3 linked regions of the Oryctolagus cuniculus genome follow. The protein of the gene in region 3 interacts with the protein of the main gene of each other region in a biochemical or structural test. Links are inferred from orthologs where the notes say so. Each region holds a gene or a part of one and is shown on either strand. Other genes may lie near its edges.

Region 1 (3,751 bases), on a different chromosome or scaffold from region 3:
GTCAGGAGCCAGAGGCAGGAATCAGACCCAGCCACTCTGGTATGGGATGTGGGTATCTGAACTGCTACTCTAGGACAGTCTTTTCAACAAGTTGTGCTGAGAAAGTTGAATAGCCACAGTCATTGAACCTTCAACTAACACCATACATGAAAGGCACCCAAAATGAATAAAAACCTTAAAGATAAGAGCTTAAACTATAAAACTCCTGAGAGAAAACATAAGGGAAAACCTTCATGACACCAGATTTGATAATGATTTTTTAGTTATGGCACCAAAGGCACAGAGGAAAAAAAAAGAAAAGAAAAATTAGGCAGATTGAACTTGATCACAATTAAAAACATTTGTGCATCAAAATACTCCTAACAGGGTGGGCACTGTGGTTAAGCTACTGTTTGGGACATCTGCATACCATGTTAGCGTACAAGTTTCAGCCCAGGCTACTCTGCTTCCAGTCCAGCTTCCTGCCATTGCATCCTTGGAAGCAGCAGAAGATGGCACAAGTGACTGCCATTCACGTGGGAGACACAATTTGAATTCTGGACTCCCAGATTTGGCCTGGGCTAGCCCTAGCTGTTGCAGGCATTTGGGGAGTGGACCAAAGTGATGTGGGGTGAATAGGCAGGCAGTTAGATAGGTCCCCAAATGTAATTCTACCTCCTCCTTGTCAATCAAAACTCTCCCTTTCCCAGGATGCACCTACTCTATCTAGGATCTAAGGAGGTGGAGGGGGATGCCATGAAAATAAAATTCAAAGAAACAGTAAATGCAAAGAAAGATAAAATGCAAAGAAAAAATGAGATACCACTTTACACCCATTAAGATAGTTTTGATTTTAAAAACCAAAGCAGAATAGAAAATAACAAATGTTAAAAGAATGTGAAGGAACTAGAACTCTTGTGCCCTGCTGGTAGGAACATAAAATGGTGCAGTTGCTATGGAAAATGGTGTGTCAGTTTCCCAAAACATCAAAACAAAAATGGAAGTGCCATCATTACTCAGCCTTTCCACTTCTGAGAATATACTCAAAAGAATTGAAAGCAGGAACAAAAGCATGTTTGTACACCCACATTTAGAGCTGTATTGTTCACGACAGGCAAAGTGTGGAAGCAATGCAGTGCATACAATGGAATATTATTGTACCTTAAAAAGGAAGGAAATCCTGACACATGCTAGGATGTGGATAAACCTTGAAGACTTTGTGCTAATTGAAACGGTCAGTCACCAAATGACAAGTACTGTGAGGTCGCAGACTGGTCAAACTGATAGGGACACAAATAGAATGGTGCTTGCCAGGGGCTGGGGAGAGGCTTGTTAAAATAATTCATTACAGGGCTGGTGCTGTGGCATAGTGGGTAAAGCCGCTGCATCCAGTGCCAACATCCCACATGGGCACCAGTTCGAATCCTGGCTGCTCCATTTCCCATCCAGCTCTCTGCTATGGCCTGGGAAATCAGTAAAAGATGGCCCAAGACTTTGGACCCCTCCACCCATGTGGGAGACCTGGAAAAAGCACCTGGCTCCTGGCTTTGGATTGGCACGACTCCAGCCATTGCAGCCAATTGGGGAGTGAACCAGAGGATGGAAGACCTCTCTTCTCTGTAACTCTGACTTTCAAATAAATAAATAAAGTCTTTAAAAAAAATAATTCATTAGGTGGTCATTAGGCTGAGGCAGCCTACAGAGTCCTGGTCTCCCATGTGGGTAAACAGAAACTCAACCCAGTAAAACCTCCCCCCCCCCCCTTTTTTCCTCCGTCCTATTTGTTCTCAGTCTACTAACCTTTTTGCCCAGTTAACTTTCTATTCCAAGGATGAAAAAAGGCAGTGAGACAAGCGCCTAATAAAACGAGTCCCTCAGTTCACCCTGGCAGGCTTCTTAAACCGTCTTTATGCCTTGGTTGAGGAGGTCAGAATTCTCGTTGGAGCACATGATCGGGAATTCCCTGATTGTCACCACTTTATTCCCATGGTGCTGGGATACCGTGAAGCCCATGAGTGCATGGCTGAAGCCAACGGGAGGTCCCTGAGAAAAACAACGTAGAAGCTGGTAACATAAGATAAGACCTGGTAAGATTTGGGCTCTCCTGCCGAAAAGAGGACTAGAAATTTCACTTTGTTCTAAAAAAAAAGGGGGGGCGGGGCGTGACATTAACTTCAATATGCAATGACTTTGAACAGCCCTTTCTTGTCTCCACTGTTGAGGAACAGGTTTTGTTTTGTTTTATTTTGTTTTGTTTTCATGAAAATTGTTGAACTCTTAGTATAGAGTTGGTCTTCTATGTATAATGTTAATCGAAAATGGATTTTAGTGGAGAATGGGACTGGGAATGGGAGAGGGAGGAGGAGGTGGGGCGGGAGAGTGGGTGGGAGGGTGGGTATGGTGGGAAGAATCACTATGTTCCTAAAGTTGTACTTATGAAATACATGAAGCTTGTATTCCTTAAATAAAAAGTTTCTTTAGGGGATAAAATTTAACTTACCTGTGGTTGCAGTCCAGTTCATAAACACAGCTGCAGAAACCACGACAGAAACTTCCTGAAGCCCTCACGCGTAAAGTGCTGACTTCCTTCTTTTTGCAAGGAATTGTCACGTCCCATATCTTCAGGCTCTGAATGGACAAGAAATAGAATTGGCAGTACTTTTCCCATAACAGCGGTGGACGCCCAGCCAGTTCTGGTCAGTTTACAGAGACTGCATAGTGTTAACCACTTGGCCCTAAGAATAACATTTTGATGTCACATTGGCATAAAATCACACACTAATGTTATAGACATCTGAGGTGGGAAGACTCCCTTTGTTCAAACAGGCACCAGAGACAGTGGAGGATTGAAGTAGTTTATTACACCAGTGGGCTCAGCTGGAATAATTTCCCGAGAACTGAGCAACAATCCCAAGTTTTTTTTACAATATTTATAGGTTCATCAGCATCATTTAAATTGCAGCCTACATGGTGGGTTTAAATTGCAGCCTACAAGACTTAGAACCACATTTCCAATGGTTGGTGGGCCTGTTATGTTTGTAGAAGAGACACCAGGGGCAGATTTGTTAGGACAGATTTATGACTGGAGTTTACAGAAGTAGAACTGAGGACTCCTTCTCTCCCTAGACAAGATAGCAGTGGGCAGCTGCTTCACTAGTTAATTGTGAGCAGCCACTTTTCAAGGTCTGTGTTGGGATGCGGGGTCTGCTTCTCTTTCTTTGTCTCTGGTTGTGGCCGTATTTCCTCTATACTAGTATCTGTCCAGTCCCTGTGTTTGCACTTAAAATGTGTGGAATTGTATCTTACTTGCACCTGCTCAGTTATCTCTCGTTATACCAAGAGACTAAGTTACTAGAATGTCTGTGAATATACAAACTTCCCTCTTCTAACATTCTTGTGTTTGTCTTTCCAAGGGGGTGTACACATTTGTTCCAGATTGGCTTTTCCTCAATCTATAGATTGCTTCTCTTTAAAATAAGGCTCTCCTTTTCTGCCTTTCAATCTGAATAAGATTATTATTATTAAAGATCTAGCCACGGAATCTTCCTGGGGTGGATCAGAGGGGGCTAGGAAAACAGCAAATGACCTCTTTCTAAAAAGGTCCACCCCAAGGGAATTACTCAAGAAACTGACTGCTCTGTCTTCAATCTTCTAAACAACTAAGGAAACAGGATGAACCTGTTTGTTTACAAGGAAGATTACAGGTTTTATTTATAAAACATTCTGGTCTAGGGGCTGGCACTGTGGCATAGCAGGTAAAGCCACCACCTGT
Region 2 (3,751 bases), on a different chromosome or scaffold from region 3:
CTGTCCTCCCTCTTCTATTCCCTCTTAGGCGAAATCTACTCTGCCCTTCTCGGTTGGGAGCATCTCCACTATAAACTTGGTCTTGGTGCCTCAGAGGCATCTTGGCCAAGGTGGCCTGATCATTTCTGCGCTACAGCTGGCACACCGGAGGCACCTGCCAGGTGGCGCCTGGGAGCCTGTGAAGAGCTCTGTTGTCTGGGTTGCAGCTTAGCATCCCGGCAGTAGCCAAAGGAAGCTATCGTGGCTCACCTCTTTCCTTGCTGCCTTAACCGTGGCTTGACTGTGTCTTGACAGCCCTCACGGCAGCTGTGCAGTCACCTGACTGTGGGCCTCAGGGCTCTGTACAGGACAGATAGATTCAGTCCCCTCAGAAACCCAAAGGAACTACCCTCAAGGTGTCTTTCTGAGCGTTTAAGCGGGGCTTGTGGGGTCAAGAAGGGAATCAAACTGTGCCTTCTAGGAGATGACAAAGGCCAAAGGCTTTCCTTTCTCCTTTTGCATTTGGGCTTGGGGGCAAGGCTGGGGAAGCAGACCTGATAACAGGGTTGTGGCCTTTGCACACTAGATATGTGTGATCCTGTGACTGCCTCAGTTGCTACAGGTGGAGAAAGGCGCAGGAGACTAGCAGAGACCCTCGAGTTTCAAAGCATGGTGAAATTTGCAAGACTTAGGAATCATGTGTTTCGAACTGGAATGTACAGGTGTGTGTGTGTGTGTGTGTGTGGAGAGAGAGAAAGAGACAGATGTTCTTTGAATATTTGAGGGTACAATCTTGAATAAACCTTCCCATTCCCAACATCCCGTTCCGTGGTTGACCCAGGTTGCCCCCAGTCTCCAGGCCTCATGAATCAAGTTAATCGCGATCCCCATCACCATCCCTCAAAGAGGTCTCGCGCCCCCTTTCAGTTGGCTCCAGATGCACTGAGAGACCGGTCCAAACAGGCCCGGGGCAGCGTAACACTGAGCGCTGATTGGTCGATCTTGGCTCCTCCCCTCAACCCGCATTTGGCCCTAGAGCGCTGTGCAGCTCCACCAGCGCAGGGTAGGCGCTCTGGTGCTCGCGAGGACGCTTCCTTCCTCGGGTGCACTGATCTTCCCGATCCTGCCTTTGGAGATGCCAGATTGCTAACCTTGGCTACTCCATTGGCCTGTCTGCCTCTTACCTGCCGATTACATATGAACTTTTCCTCCTTCTTTCTGCACACCATTGTCGGAGTCGTCGAGATCGTCGTGGTGCTCGTGTGATGGTCTTCGTCCGTTTAGCGTAGTGTAGTTAGTTAGGGGCCATCGAAGAAGAAAGAAGACGCGATTAGTGCAGAGATGCTGGAGGTTGTCAGTTACTAAGCTGGAGTGAGATAGTGGAACTAGAGGAGCCAAACCCAGCCGGGGGCGCAGGGTCGCCCAAGGAGGTTGACTCGCCGGCGCTTCCCATCGCGCCGAGCTCCCTCCGTCCCTTTCTCTGCCTCCGCCAAGGCGCGAGGTTGCGGCGCGCAGCGCAGCGCAGCGCACCGACTGCCGCGGGCTCCGCTGGGCGATTGCAGCCGGGTCCGTTTCTCGTCTAGCTGCCGCCGCGGCGACCGCTGCCTGGTCTTCCTCCCGGACGCTAGTGGTAAGTCGGAGCCCCGGGCTGCATTACTAGCCAAGACCTTAATGATTTAGGCCAGGGATGGAGTGGGGAGCGGGGACAAGTCCCGGATGGTTGCAGCCTGCAGGACCGCACTGACCGGGGCGAGGGTGAAGGGGGTGGGGAGGGACTCCGAACGCGCAGATCGCGGGGAGACTGGGGTCTCTAGAAGGAGAGAAGAGCTTAGGTTTCACGGGAGGCGAACCCGAGCCTCCAAGGAGATTGGGAGCTGGGACTCGAGATTGAAGTCTGGATGGAGGCAGGGTCTGGAGAACCCAGCGCCTAGGAAGCGGAGAGAGTAGCGGTGGCGGAGGTGGGGGCCTCAAGAAGTGAGGGAGGGGCAGAGAGAGGAGGGAGACCGAAAGCGGGTGTCGCTGGGCAAAGGGTTGGGCTGCGGAAGGTGCAGCTGGGTTGGGGTACACACTACGTTCTTAAGCAATTGGATTGCGGGCAAGTGGAACAGGAAGTAGGGCTTGGGACAGTGGGAGCAAGGTGGTGGTGGTGGGGGAGGATCCTTTTTTATATTCTCATTGATAATCGACCCTGATTTTCGGCGGGTCTCAGTGAGCACCCGTTACCCTGGGGAGATAGATACTGCGGATCTGTGTCTTGTGTTAACAGCTGTTGGCTGAATGTGAACAGTGCTGCTGCTGATGGTCACGTAAGTTTAAAAGGAGAGTATAAATAAGGCATCCAAGCAGCCTTTTTATTATTAGCTTACCTAAGTCATTTGGTGACAGTTTTGTGTTTTGAAAAGGATTACGGAAAAGTCTCCAGCGCTGCCTCTTATTCCAGTCCCGTTATTCAGGTTAACCTGACAAGCAGTCTTAACAGCGTCCATCGGAATTGCTAAACGTGAGAACAGGTTGCCGTTCCTGATGCCACATAAAGTTCGTCATTGAAAAACCTGTCTTTGTGTCTGCTTCTTTTCTGCGCCGTGCCCTTTGCCCTTTGCTTACTGTTGGTAGTATGCGACCTGAGGTGACAAGCACTTTGCATCGTGTTCTAGACCCCTTTATTTTAGGCGACAGCGCTCCCCAACTCAAATTCAGCTTGCGACATCCGGCAGTTAGAAGAGATCTAATTTGGTCGAGAATCACTGCCAGTACAGGATAGTTTCTTCATTAATATTTACCAGTACAAGTCCCATCCAAGGAAGCCTCCTATTGCTGAGCCTCTTAAGTGCATATGCCCCTTACCACATACCTTTTAGACAGGCTAACCCAGGGAGACTCTCCAGGGAGGAATAGAACTGGACTAAAATGACTGGGCTGGTGGGGGAGACGGTGAGCAGTGAGTAATCTCTGAGCTCCTCGAGTGGCCAACAATTGTGTCCTCACATACACAGTGGTGCAAAAAGACATTTGGGTTCCAGAGTTTCAATTTTTCATTATGAAATTTTCCTATATGTCATCACCCATTCTGACAAATGAAAATATGAATGCAGTAGAAATCGTGTTACTGTAGTTCACTACGTGTATGTAGACCATGAAAAAGGCCAACCCACACATCCCACAGAAAATTATTTCTACCATGATCATTGTGCCGCTTTTGCAGTATTTAAATCACACGGAATATTGTCCTTTCAGAAGAGTATAATTGCCTTGGCACCTTGCTGTTTAGGAATCATCTACAGAACTCCATCTCCCACTCCAATCCCCTCCCTCGGCCCCATGGGAATTCATTTTTCCTGTATCGGAGGGAAGTAGGTTATAAGATATTTAATTACGTTTTTCACTCTATAAATATGTTCTTCTGATCCTCCTGGGGAGGGAAGGAAATATGTATTTCATCCAAATGATTTCTTTCCTAATAGCTTCTATCTACGGCAACAAGCCCAATGTGAGTCCTGACATCAGAAGGTGGATAAGGCTTGTGGTTGCAATGTCAAGGTAGGATTTGGGATGCTTAAACCAACACTCACAGTGATTTTCTATCTGCATAATCCAGAAAGGTTATTAACCCTTCCCATAGTTTCTTGAGATTTATCTCCATCTAAAATTGTCATGGATCATATGATAACTTTTTCAGATACATAACAGGCTTTGGTATAGTATGAATTCATGGGAAGAAAGGTGAGAGTTGATATTTTTGCAAGGCGTGGATCCAGGATATATATATATATAT
Region 3 (3,651 bases):
GCTACTTCAGTAGCTGGTGCAGCCAACGGAGGAAAAAGGAGCAGCTCTCAGTCTCCAGTGGTGCCACAGTCGAGCTCTCCAGAACCAGAGCCCATTCGAAGTAAGGACTGGGCTCACGAGAGTCCTGTGTGTCTGGCATACTCAGCACAGGGAGCCTGCTGAGGGTCCAGCTGCCTGCCAGTGGCTGATTGTTTGAAAGGTGTAACAAGGGAGCCCTGTGGTGGGAGGCTGGTAGCAAGAGAGGGGCTCCTAAAGAAAGAGCACTGGATTGTAAAGTAGACGTCAGGGCATCTTACATTAACCCACCGTGGGACCTCAGGAAATCCACCTGTTCACTCTGAGCCTCAACTTCTCTGTTCTCCAAGAAACTTTTGCTGAGAGTACCAGTGATTTCAGATATTGAACTAGCAAATTGGAAATATCATTTTGGAGATACTGTATATATATGTATACATACACATATACTGAGACAGTAACTTAATTTCCCTAAGTCTCAGTTTTCTTATCTGTAGAATGGATATACAGTGATCCTTTTTCACAGATAGGATCAATATTACCTGCCACCACAAGAAACTCCTGAAAATTATAGCTGTTGACACTGAGTATGTTGTAGCAGTTTGAGTTCTGTGGTTTGAATGCAGTAGTAGACCTTGTGAAAGTAGATAAAATGGATGTCGTGGACCATGAGATGATAATTTAGTCTATCATTAAAATGCCCGTCTAGTATATGGAGGTAAATTATTCCTATAAGTTACTTTTTGACAAAAATCACACTGGTTTCTTATAAAACAATAAATTTCAACCTCTGCACCATCAAAAAAACAAAATTGCTCAAACACGTTGCCATTTTCTGCAAGTGTGGGGAAAAATTGGGCCTACAAACTGAAACATTCAGTTCTTTTGACATGGTTTTAAGGAAACACTAATTTAAAACATTTGTAGTATAGTTAGACAAAAATGGCTTAAAGAGATATATCTCTGATGAAAGTAATCCTTTATTTAGAAGGACTGAATAATTGACTGAAGTGTTAAAAGATTTTATGAAAATATTCTCATTTTTCAATTTTACATTGATCCCTAAATAGCATTGTCTATAAAAATATGAAATGCTATGTGAAAATTTTACATAAAACGAAATATCTTACACCTGTTCTTACCATTTCAGGAACAAGAAAATGGTCTGTTTCTGATTTCCTAAAAAGAGAACATCTTGTCCAAAGCATACGTTATTCTACCAAGTATAGCCATCCAGACTTTCCCCAAACATGCTATTGTTGTATCATAAAACAGGTGATACGATAAGAAGACTGTCATACAACAGGATGTGAAATTATATTATTCTTATTTTCTCATAGTCTGTTCTTTTTTGAGCATCTATGCACCAGGATTTGTTTATAAAAAAGCAAGGGAAATCCAAGGGTAAAGATGTAAATAGTGAGTATTTCCTTAGACTTGATCATGTGAGAAGAGATGCTCTAGGATAAGGGGGAAAAAAGGAAAGCATAAAAAGCCCTGAAAAGCAGGCAGTGGGACCAAAATTATTGATGTGCTTTGTGTTTTGTTATCTCCCTTGAATGTGCTTCTGTGTGTCTGCCACATGTCTCAGATCTGAGTTGTACAAATCTTGATTTCATAACAAGTGTGTTTTGCTGCAGTGAAGTATAGAATGTCAGAGTGAAACTGGAGGTTCTGTTCAACTTTCTGTTCTCCTTCCTTTACACTCTATCTTATATAGCAATTTAAAAATACAGAATAGTATAGAAAATAAACAGGTGATTTTGTACCAAAAACCTTAACAATGATTTAATAATATTTCTTTCAAAATATATTTATTTGTTTTTATTTATCAGTAGACAGACAAATACAGACCTAGACAGAACACCAGAGGGCTCTTACCCACTGATTCACTCCCCAAATGCCAGTAACAGCCAGGACTGAACCAGGTCAAAGCCAGGAGCTGGGAATGTCATTTGGGCCTCCCACATGGGTAGCAAGAACCCAAGTATTTGAGCTATCACTGCTGCCTTCCAGAGTGAGCATTAGTAGGAAGCTGGAGTTGAGAATGGAGCAAGGATTCAAACCCCCAGGTACCTCCAGGTAGGATGCAGGTACCCCAGATAGCGTCTTACCCACTGCCTCAAACACCCTGCCTTAATATAGTTTAATATAACTAGAAGAGCTGAGTAAATTTGCAATCTCCTTTTTCACTAGTCTGAACCCCTTTTCCTACTCCATCCCCCAAAAGCAACCTGTGCAGTGAGTTTAGCCCATATACCTTTTAATCAACATTTATTTGTATTTCATTTCTCTTTTAACTCATTTAGGTACAAGCAGGTCATCAACACCAGCGATCTTTGCTTCTGATCCTGCCACCTGCCCCATTATCCCTGGCTGTGAAACAACAATTGAGATTTCCAAAGGGCGAACAGGACTGGGCCTGAGCATTGTGGGCGGGTCAGACACACTGCTGGTGAGTGCCCACCCAGAGGTGCTCACTAGCTGGGCAACCCTTCAGCCAGGCCTCAGATACCTAGACTGAGGGGATGCCTTTCTGTCTGTTTTGTTATATTAAATATAAAGGCTGAGGAAAAAAATGTATTGCTCATTATTATTTTTAATTTATAGAGCAAATCCTTAATGGGGGTACTGGGATTTTTACTTAATTAAGTCAATACTGACTCAGTAAGATTTTGTTATACTTGTGAGTGTGACGTTTAGATTTTGAAATGTTTCTGTCAGCTCACCAGTGCTTTTGGTTTGGATTTCCTTTTTAATGGAATCCACACCACATTGGTCATGTGTTGAGAGGAATCTGAACAATTGGATGCTTTGTAGACAAAATTTTGTAAATGTCAAAAGGTAATGTAGCTCTATTATATGTAGGCATAGATAATTTATATATTTAAAATGTTTTCTAAATATCCCTACTGTTAGAAAAAAAAATGTACAAACTTTTCTGAGCCATTTAGCAGAAAGTGAGTTGTCAGACATTTCCTTAAATGATGTGAGGTTACCGGCAGGTGGATCCTGTAAAGATCAGGCCTGCTGGCTGTCTATAAAAGTCCCAGGTGTTTGGACTCCATTTCAACTCTGTATTGCTAGGGAGAATGGAATAAAGCATGGGTTGTTGTGTTTGGCTCCCAGGGTGCCATTATCATCCATGAAGTATATGAAGAAGGAGCGGCATGCAAAGATGGAAGACTCTGGGCTGGAGACCAGATATTAGAGGTACAATGCACTTCCTTGTGACCTTCAGAAATCACAGCAAAAAGGCCACTGGTTCTTTGTTGTTTCCTTCTCCCTCTTTTCCCTTCCTTTATTTGCCCTGTTTAACTCTCCTAGTTTCTCACTCTCAAGATCCCGTTTTGGTGCAGGTGAATGGGATTGACCTAAGAAAGGCCACACATGATGAAGCCATCAATGTCCTGCGACAGACGCCCCAAAGAGTGCGCCTGACACTCTACAGAGACGAGGCCCCCTACAAGGAGGAGGACGTGTGTGATGCCCTCACCGTGGAGCTACAGAAGAAACCCGGCAAAGGCCTGGGACTAAGTATTGTTGGGAAAAGGTGTGCCTAAGGATGATGAACCCAGTGACCTTGTGGGAATGAGTGATTACATTCTTGTAAGGGACTGATAGTGGAATTGTTGG

What was found.
Region 1: the proteins of MPDZ (region 3) and CYSLTR2 interact in a test that uses a peptide from one of them, tested with the Homo sapiens proteins (2 studies listed by IntAct, with this or other methods). The link is inferred for Oryctolagus cuniculus from reciprocal best matches to the Homo sapiens genes MPDZ and CYSLTR2.
Region 2: the proteins of MPDZ (region 3) and HTR2C form a complex in vitro, tested with the Homo sapiens proteins (3 studies listed by BioGRID and IntAct, with this or other methods). The link is inferred for Oryctolagus cuniculus from reciprocal best matches to the Homo sapiens genes MPDZ and HTR2C.

What each region holds. Positions count from the first base shown.
Region 1 is NC_091440.1:67,983,494-67,987,244, reverse strand, and holds the start of CYSLTR2 (cysteinyl leukotriene receptor 2), read right to left. Parts: upstream 2,611-3,751; 5' UTR 2,480-2,610; intron 1-2,479. UniProt on the Homo sapiens protein: Receptor for cysteinyl leukotrienes. The response is mediated via a G-protein that activates a phosphatidylinositol-calcium second messenger system.
Region 2 is NC_091453.1:78,910,777-78,914,527, reverse strand, and holds the start of HTR2C (5-hydroxytryptamine receptor 2C), read left to right. Parts: upstream 1-1,022; 5' UTR 1,023-1,609; intron 1,610-3,751. UniProt on the Homo sapiens protein: G-protein coupled receptor for 5-hydroxytryptamine (serotonin).
Region 3 is NC_091432.1:175,939,902-175,943,552, reverse strand, and holds part of MPDZ (multiple PDZ domain protein), read left to right. Parts: coding exon 1-100; intron 101-2,324; coding exon 2,325-2,470; intron 2,471-3,144; coding exon 3,145-3,228; intron 3,229-3,374; coding exon 3,375-3,568; intron 3,569-3,651. UniProt on the Homo sapiens protein: Member of the NMDAR signaling complex that may play a role in control of AMPAR potentiation and synaptic plasticity in excitatory synapses. Promotes clustering of HT2RC at the cell surface.